Callithrix jacchus: one gene and its partner. Each later gene encodes a partner of the first gene's protein in a complex. Links are inferred from orthologs where the notes say so. Each region holds a gene or a part of one and is shown on either strand. Other genes may lie near its edges. The genes, in order: UBL4A and BAG6.

What was found.
Region 2: the proteins of UBL4A (region 1) and BAG6 are in contact, whole or in part, in a crystal structure (PDB 4X86), measured with the Homo sapiens proteins. The link is inferred for Callithrix jacchus from reciprocal best matches to the Homo sapiens genes UBL4A and BAG6. Residues at the interface, in NP_055050.1 of Homo sapiens: Val95, Leu98, Ile99, Val102, Leu103, Arg105, His106, Phe107, Ser108, Asp111, Arg114, Val115, Gln118, Leu119, Asp122, Tyr123, Glu124, Ser126, Leu127, Ser128, Leu130, Ile135, Leu138, Arg141, Phe142; in NP_001092004.1 of Homo sapiens: Gly1052, Pro1053, Leu1055, Leu1057, Ala1060, Val1061, Ala1064, Ala1065, Ala1067, Ala1068, Ala1070, Arg1071, Pro1072, Leu1073, Thr1074, Ser1078, Leu1079, Asp1082, Leu1083, Glu1087, Val1088, Ser1091, Tyr1092, Gln1095, Leu1096, Asp1099, Ile1100, Arg1103, Leu1104.

Annotation. Positions count from the first base shown.
Region 1 is NC_133524.1:150,279,919-150,284,450, reverse strand, and holds UBL4A (ubiquitin-like protein 4A), read left to right. Parts: upstream 1-1,514; 5' UTR 1,515-1,537; coding exon 1,538-1,585; intron 1,586-1,782; coding exon 1,783-1,888; intron 1,889-2,115; coding exon 2,116-2,324; intron 2,325-2,417; coding exon 2,418-2,528; 3' UTR 2,529-4,297; downstream 4,298-4,532. Other genes in the region: SLC10A3 (P3 protein), read left to right, coding at 1-592. UniProt on the Homo sapiens protein: As part of a cytosolic protein quality control complex, the BAG6/BAT3 complex, maintains misfolded and hydrophobic patches-containing proteins in a soluble state and participates in their proper delivery to the endoplasmic reticulum or alternatively can promote their sorting to the proteasome where they undergo degradation.
Region 2 is NC_133505.1:39,148,267-39,152,066, reverse strand, and holds part of BAG6 (large proline-rich protein BAG6), read left to right. Parts: intron 1-764; coding exon 765-882; intron 883-996; coding exon 997-1,193; intron 1,194-1,427; coding exon 1,428-1,481; intron 1,482-1,640; coding exon 1,641-1,715; intron 1,716-3,121; coding exon 3,122-3,360; intron 3,361-3,800. UniProt on the Homo sapiens protein: ATP-independent molecular chaperone preventing the aggregation of misfolded and hydrophobic patches-containing proteins.

The DNA of each region.
Region 1 (4,532 bases):
CACACTGGCCATCTCCATGACGTTCATCTCCACGGTGGCTGCCACTGGTTTCTTGCCACTGTCTTCAGCCATCTACAGCCGCCTGCTCAGTGTCCATGAAACACTCCACGTGCCCATATCCAAGATCCTGGGGACCCTGCTGTTCATTGCCATCCCCATAGCAGTGGGTGTGCTCATCAAATCCAAGCTCCCCAAGTTCTCCCAACTGCTGCTGCAGGTCATCAAGCCCTTCAGTTTTGTGCTCCTCCTGGGCGGCCTCTTCCTGGCCTATCGCATGGGGGTCTTCATCCTGGCAGGCGTCAGGCTACCCATCGTGCTGGTGGGTATCACGGTGCCCCTGGTTGGCCTGTTGGTGGGCTACTGCTTGGCCACGTGTCTGAGGCTGCCAGTGGCCCAGCGGCGGACAGTCAGCATTGAGGTAGGGGTGCAGAACAGCCTGCTGGCCTTGGCCATGCTACAGCTATCCCTCCGCCGCCTTCAGGCTGACTATGCCTCCCAGGCCCCCTTCATTGTGGCACTGAGTGGCACCTCTGAGATGCTGGCCTTGGTCATCGGCCACTTCATCTACAGCAGCCTGTTCCCAGTTCCCTGAGGCCTCTGGGTCAAGCTTTCGTCAGTCCCAGCCTCCACACTCCACCTACTGTCCCCAGAGTTCTTGTGTACCAAAGGCCTTTAGTTCTCATGCACTATGCACTCAGAAAAATCCAGGCTTATTTTTTTTACTGATTTTTTTATTCTCCAGCTTTCAGTGCCAAGGAGGCCATGCTGAGTTAGGTAGGTGGGCACTGCCCCAAAAATATATTTCAATAAAAGACAGAAGCAAGCTTGGGTCCCTTCCAATCTTTGCCCTTTGGTGCCTGGGCTTGGGGGTAGAGTGTGCTGGGTAGGTGTGGACCAGGGTGGAGGACCAGCTTGGATGACACGGTGACCCATGCACAGGCTTTCTCTATCAGCCCTCCCCAGGAATGTCCCCATTCTGGGAGAGGTGGGAGGATGAGAGCAGAGGCCTGGCTCCCCTGCCCGCTCTCAAACTCGGTGGGGTGTTTTGCAGCCAGACCAGAAAGGAGGAGGCAGAAACCCAGCGGGCAGGGGGTGGGGGCGGGCCGTCTGTGGGTTTGCAGGGCCCGGCTCCGCCAGCTGTCAGGATATGTGGGGTGGTTCAGGCCATCCGCGGGGGCGAGCGTAACTCTTGGCCCTTCCTTCTCCATGCCCCAGCTCCTACATGACGCCAACCTGACCCGACGGGTTCTAGCTCCCAAATTCCCCGCACTGTGGCTTTGGGAAGGGTCCGCCGGCTAGGGCAGTCGCTGCGCGTTTGCGAGGCGGAACCCCAGGGGGACTCCTCCTCCCGGGGCGCAATTGGGGTGGGGGGCGTGAACGGGACAGGAGGGCGGGGCCGGGAAGCGCGGGCGGCGGGCGCGCCCCTCTTGCTGCTTCCGGCGGCAGCGGGTGGATCCGGCGCGCGACCGGGGCGGCGGCGCGCGGCGGGGGGTGGTTGGGGTGCGCGCCCGCCCGAGTGGACGCCGCCGCGGCCGCCATGCAGCTGACGGTGAAGGCGCTGCAGGGCCGCGACTGCAGCCTGCAGGTAGGGTCCCGGGGCCGGGCTGCCGGGCCCGTCAGTCGCCCGCCCCTAACAGGAGGACCGCCAGGGCCGAGGGCGGGCACGGGGCGGCCGGGCCGGGGGCTGGTAGCCGAGAGAGCCGCCCTCGGTAGCGGACGCGTGGGCTTCGTCGACCGAGGGCCGCGGGCTCAATCCCTGCCTCCCACCCTCGGCGCGGCCAGGTGCCGGAGGACGAGCTGGTGTCCACGCTGAAGCAGCTGGTCTCAGAGAAGCTGAACGTCCCCGTGCGCCAGCAGCGGCTGCTCTTCAAGGGCAAGGCCCTGGCAGGTACCCAGGGAGAGGAGACGCCCAGGGAGCCCCGCAGGAAGCGGGGCCAGGGTGCTCTGGCCGCCTCGGCAGCCGTGTGACGGGTCGGGGTGCCGGCGCCCAGCGCCACTTGACTCCAGGGTAGACGACCGCATGCTGCAAAGCTGAATCCCGCAGCCCGAAGCGGCCTCGTGTCCTGGGCCACCCCCACGGCGGCAGGGAGAAACTCATCGATCTGTCTTTGGCAGATGGGAAACGACTCTCGGATTATAGCATCGGGCCCAACTCCAAGCTCAACCTAGTGGTCAAACCCCTGGAGAAGGTGCTACTAGAAGAAGGCACTGGCCGGAGACTGGCCGACTCCCCACCCCCGCAGGTCTGGCAGCTGATCTCCAAAGTCTTGGCCCGTCACTTCAGCGCGGCAGATGCCAGCAGGGTCCTGGAACAGCTACAGAGGGTGAGAAGGGCAACCCTGGACATCCTTTCTAGGCCCAGCTGCTCCCAGCCCCCCACTGCCATCCCCTGAATCTTCCTGCCTTTCTCTCCCCAGGATTACGAGAGGTCCCTGAGCCGCCTGACACTGGACGACATCGAACGATTGGCTGGCCGTTTCCTGCATCCAGAAGTGACTGAGACGATGGAGAAGGGCTTCTCCAAATAGCATTCTCAGAGCATAGGGAGGTGCCCAACGCCAGGCCACGGCTGAACATCACACAACGTGTGTTCAGTTGCAGTTGGGCTCATAATAATAGCTGGCAGGTACCTGGCTCTGGCCAGGTGCTAGGCACCACTCACAGCTTGACCTGGGTTTGCTTCCACACCCTTGGAAGAGGAGAGCCAGCACAGCGGGGGCGACGCAGGGGAGGAGCCCCAGTTGGAGTCCAGCAGCTTCTGAAAGTGCCTTGATGTGACAAGGAGGAAGGGGCTGCTTGGAGAGCTGAGCTCACTTGTCATATTTAGCCCACTGAGAATATACACTCAAGCAACTCCTTCCCAAGCCTGAAAGGGGAAGCAGTTGTCACCTGACTTCTGGCGGGTCCAGCATTAACCCTCAGCTCACTGCTGCAGGAGGCCAAGTTGCAGCCAGCCCTGGATCCCCCAGCTGCTACAGCTAGTGAGCGTTCTACAAATGGAAAAGCAGGTTGGGGCCAGGGAGTGAGAAAGTCACCCCAGCTCTGTGATATGACTTTGGGCAAGTCTCAGTGCCACTTTGGTCCCCCGCCACAGACTCTATAGGGTGAGGGCCACTTCCTGATCTGAGTCAGTGTTCTCCGCCCTTACCCCAGCCCAGGGTGGGGAGTGTTAACAGTGCTCTTCTCCCTTCTGTTCAATAAACGAACTGAAGTCAAAAGCAAAGCATGGCCAAGTGTGACCCAGAGATGGGTGTCCTGGCCTTTGGTGACACAGCTCTTCTCTGGGGCACCCTGTCTGCTTGTCTCCTCCTCCAGGAAGCATTAGGGCTGATGGGTGACTCAGAAAGGCAGTGTCAGAGCTGGGACTGGTGTAGGCATTTATCCTCATCCCCAGCATTTGCCACCATGTGGAAGACGAATACATCCCAGCCATCTGTGTGCGGGGGCTTACTTCGTATGCTCCTTATTGCCTGAGAGGAAACCTTGGGGTGCCAAGGCAGGGGCAGAAGCATGGGCTGGGTTCCAGTTCCTCCTCCACCCTGCCCTGCGCATGGGCACTAGAGGACATTGAAGTGCCTGCTCCTTGGAGGAGGCCCCCAGGGGTGGTAGAGGCTGGAAGGAAGCCACAGGCAGGAAGACACCACTCCAGCCCCTCCACCCTTGCCAAGGGAGCAGCTCAGTGTGGTCAGGGCTGCACGTGCTGGAGACCCTCCTGCCTGGGCCTTGTGGGCCAAATATTGGGTCCCCAGGCTGGAAATATGGGCAGAGGCCGAATGAGTGAAGGCTCTGAAGAGCACACAAAAGCCCCTGGCCACCCACGAGAGCTGGAAAGCCATGTATGTGGCTTCAAAGCCATATGTGGAGGGACATGCTTGTGAGCATGTGTGGCCTGCAGCTCAGGTGATACATTTACCAGGGTTCTTGTTTGGTGCCAGGAAATTAATTTTGGAAAGTGAAATAACATTAAAGGTGAACGTGAAACTTCTACTTTTATCCAAAGGAGCTATATTAGCTAGGCTGCTTCTGGTATCCAATAATTGGTTTAAAAATAAAGGCAATTTGTTGAATCAGTACAGGAAATTTCTTGACTTAATGAAAGGAAAAGTCCAGTGGTGTTGGCATTGGCAGCAGGTGAGCAATTTCACCCAGTGTCTTCCTGCCTCCCTCTGCGTTCGTATCTGCTTCATCCCAGGCCATCACCTCCAAGGATGAAAAGATGGCTGCCTGCAGCTTGCATGGAATCCCTGCCTCACTGCCAGATGCCCCAGCAAATAAACACTCTTCTCATTGGTCACAACTGGACTGTGTGTCCAATCATTTTGGCCGCGGTAGAGGGTAATTCTCCATCAGGGCTGTCTCCCTGAGCTAGGCATGGGGCCACTTCCCTGGATGGGCTGTGCAAGGGACAGAAGGCTCTGGGGGAGGGCTGGATGAATGGATGTCCTCAATTGTGGCTGCAAATGGCAGCGGTCTACTACAGGGGCCATACATGTGTCAGAAAGATCAGGGTCACCTTGGAGGTAGTGGAGGAG
Region 2 (3,800 bases), on another chromosome or scaffold:
CACCCGCCTTGGCCTCCCAAAGTGCTGGGATTTCAGGCTTGAGCCATCGTGCCTGGCCAGTTTTTCTTCATTAACCTGATTCCAGACCCCATCTTCTTTGCCATTTTTTAATCTTGGGAATTATAGGAGAGTCTGATAAATAAACTCCTGGTATCATTTTGTGTTTGGAAAGGGGTCACTGATGTTTCAGACACACATTCCCGTGGGAGCCAGGCAGAGAATGTAATGTCCAGATGTTTTTTTTGTTTTGTTTCTCATCCATGTTATTTTTCATGGACCTATATATAACCTGAGCTTCATTAAATTTATTTATTTAATTTTTTGAGATGGAGTCTCACTCTGTTGCCTGGGCTGGAGTACAATGGCACAATCTCAGCAACCTCTGCCTCCCTGGTTAAAATGATTCTCTTGCCTCAGCCTCCCTAGTAGCTGGGATTACAGGTGCCCACTACCACACCTAGCTAATTATTTTTGTATTTTTAGTAGAGACAGGATTTCATCATGTTAGGCTGGTCTGGAACTCCTGACCTCAGGTGATCTGCCTGACCTTGGCTTCTCAAAGTGTTGGGAATACAGGTGTGAGCCACTGCACCCAGCCAAGTTTATTGTCTATATTTTGACAGCTGTTACTTCAGTTTAAGGGTTTGCACGGTGATTACCTCACAGTCAAGACAAATGGGTGGTGATTCTGTCAGTTGTCCGTCTCTGTTCTTCCTCTTTCCTCTATTCTTTCCATTCCTGTGCATACCTTCTCTTCCTTGCAGATGAATGTGAAAGAGTTTAAGGAGCACATTGCTGCCTCTGTCAGCATCCCATCTGAAAAACAACGGCTCATTTACCAGGGACGAGTTCTGCAAGATGATAAGAAGCTCCAGGAATATAGTAAGGCGACTGGGGAGGCAGTTGAGACGTTGAGACTGCTATCTGGAGTGTTGAGTTGAGGCCACGGGTTTACCTGTTCATACTATGTTTTGGTGTGTGTCTATTTTTCTGCAGATGTTGGGGGAAAGGTTATCCACCTGGTGGAACGGGCTCCTCCTCAGACTCAGCTCCCTTCTGGGGCATCTTCTGGGACGGGGTCTGCCTCAGCCACTCATGGTGGGGGACCCCCGCCTGGTACTCGGGGGCCTGGGGCCTCTGTTCATGACCGGAATGCCAACAGCTATGTCATGGTTGGAACCTTCAATCTTCCTGTAAGCTTATGTTCCACAGGGGAGGGTCTTTGTGGGTAGCTTTGGTTGTGGTAGCAGCAGGGTATTAATAAGATAGATGCTTCCATCTTTAGGTTGGGTTCAGGGGGCCCTGTGGTATGCTATTGGTGTCAGTGTTTAAGGAGAAAAGAGAGCGGGGCTCCAGGGAATGAATCGGAAGAGTGGAGGCCTTAGTATTGGCTTCTCCCAGAACAACTTCCCTTACCCTTTCCCCAGAGTGACGGCTCTGCTGTGGATGTTCACATCAACATGGAACAGGCCCCGATTCAGGTATTGAGGGGCCTTGGAGGGTCAGGGAAGGGGATCTGGGAGAAGGAGGCTGGGAGGTGGGGTAGACCTGGTTGAAAGATGGCTGGGACCTGATTTAGTAGGTGGTAGAATTCATGGCTTCATCTGTAACCTACCCTGATCACTCTTCTCTCATTGTAGAGTGAGCCCCGGGTACGGCTGGTGATGGCTCAGCACATGATCAGGGATATACAGACCTTACTATCCCGGATGGAGGTAAGTGGGCAAGGCTGGCTAGAGTCTCTCCCCACCTTCCCCCTTTTCTCTCAGCCTGGGGGTTGGGGCATAACTGGCCACATTCACAGGGTTTGGCCTTCGTAATCTAGACTTCTTTGCAGTATTCATTCTTTTGGACAGAAAAACGTATCTTTGTGAGCTGCTCTCATTTCTACCAGTCCTCTTGGTGCCTGGTGCCTGGTATCTGGGGAGTTTGTTTCAGATTTGTCTCATGGGATCTCTTTTTTTTTTTCAGACGGAGTTTCGCTGTTGTTACCCAGACTGGAGTGCAATGGCACGATCTTGGCTCACTGCAACCCCTGCCTCCTGGGTTCAAGCAATTCTCCTGCCTCAGCCTCCCGAGTAGCTGGGACTACAGGCGTGCACCACCATGCCCAGCTAATTTTTGTATTTTTAGTAGAGACGGGGTTTCACCTTGTTGACCAGGATGGTCTTGATCTCTTGACCTTGTGATCCACCCGCCTCGGCCTCCTAAAGTGCTGGGATTATAGGCATGAGCCACCGCGCCTGGCTGGGATCTCTTTTCAATTAAAGGATTCCACATTTGGCCTGGCGTGGGGGCTCAAGCCTGTAATCCCAGCACTTTGGGAGGTCAAGGCAGGCGGAGGTCAGTGAGACCAGCCTGGCCAATATGGTGAAACCCCATCTCTACTAAAAATACAAAAATTAGCTGGGTGTGGTGGCATGTGCTGCATGCCTGTGGTCTCAGTTACTTGGGAGGCTGAGGTAGGAGAATCGCTTAAACTCGGGAGCAGAGGTTGCAGCAAGCCGAGATCATAGCACTTGAACCTGGGTGAGAGAGTGAGACTCCATCTCAGGGAAAAAAAAAAAAAAAAGGATTCCACACTCTTAACTAGTGAAGGTCAGGAAACCACAATCTCTACTCTTTGTTAGAAATCTGTTGACAAATATTACAGATGCTATGGGCAGGCGTGGTGGTTTCTGCCTGTAATCCCAGCACCTTGGGAGGCCATGGCAAGTGGACAACCTGCAGTCAGGAGTTCCAGACAAGTCTGGCCAACATTGCGAAACCCTGTCTCTACTAAAAGTACAAAAATTTGCTGGTTGTGGTTGCATGTGCTTATAGTCCTGGATTGCTTGAATCTGGGAGGTGGAGATTGCAGTGAGCTGAAATCATGCCACTGCATTCCAGCCTGGATGACAGAGTGAGACTCTGTCTCAAAAAAAAAAAAAAAATTACAGATGCTTATTCATCTAATTTATGTTAGTCTTATGCTAGTTGCTAGAAAGTCAGATATACAATTGCAGAGCCCTGCCTTCAGGGAGCCTAGTTAGGACACTTTCTCTATTCAGTCTCCTGCAGAGTAATCCTCTGCAGCAGTCTCATCCTGCCTTTTGGTATCCTGACTCTTCCCCACCTTCAGTGTCGAGGGGGTTCCCAACCGCAGCACAGCCAGCCACCCCCGCAGCCACCAACTGTGACCCCGGAGCCAGTAGCCTTGAGCTCTCAAACATCAGAACCAGCTGAAAGTGAAGCACCTCCTCGGGAGCCCATGGAGGCAGAAGAAGTGGAAGAGCACACCCCAGCCCAAAACCCAGAGCTCACCCCTTCTGGCCCAGCCCCAGCGGGCCCAACACCTGCCCCAGAGACAAATGCACCCAAGTAAGAGATGGAGGGAATCTTTAGGGGGTGGGGAATCCTGAGTGAAGTGTGGGGAGAAGAAAATCAACCATTGTAAAGGAAGGAAAGGATTGTTTGGAGGTCTTAGTTGGAGGGTTAGCATTGAGAGTCGAGGAGGGTATATCTCAGTATAAGTAAATGATGCTAGGAGAGGCAGCTGACAAGAACTGCTCTCCCTGTGGCAAGGAAATCCAAATGATATCTCCTGAGCCTGATCAGAATTCTCTTCTCTGAGTTCACATAGGCTTATTCTCTATTTTAGAGTTAGTTTCTCACCATTGTAGGTGTAGGATTGTGGTGGGGAGGGTGGGAGCAGTTAATTTTCTTCTCCCCATCCTCTCATGGATGGGAGTAAAAAACAAACTTTGCTGGTCCAGAAAAGGATTGGGCTAGCGTTCTGGGAGGCAAGGGAGAGAGAGAGG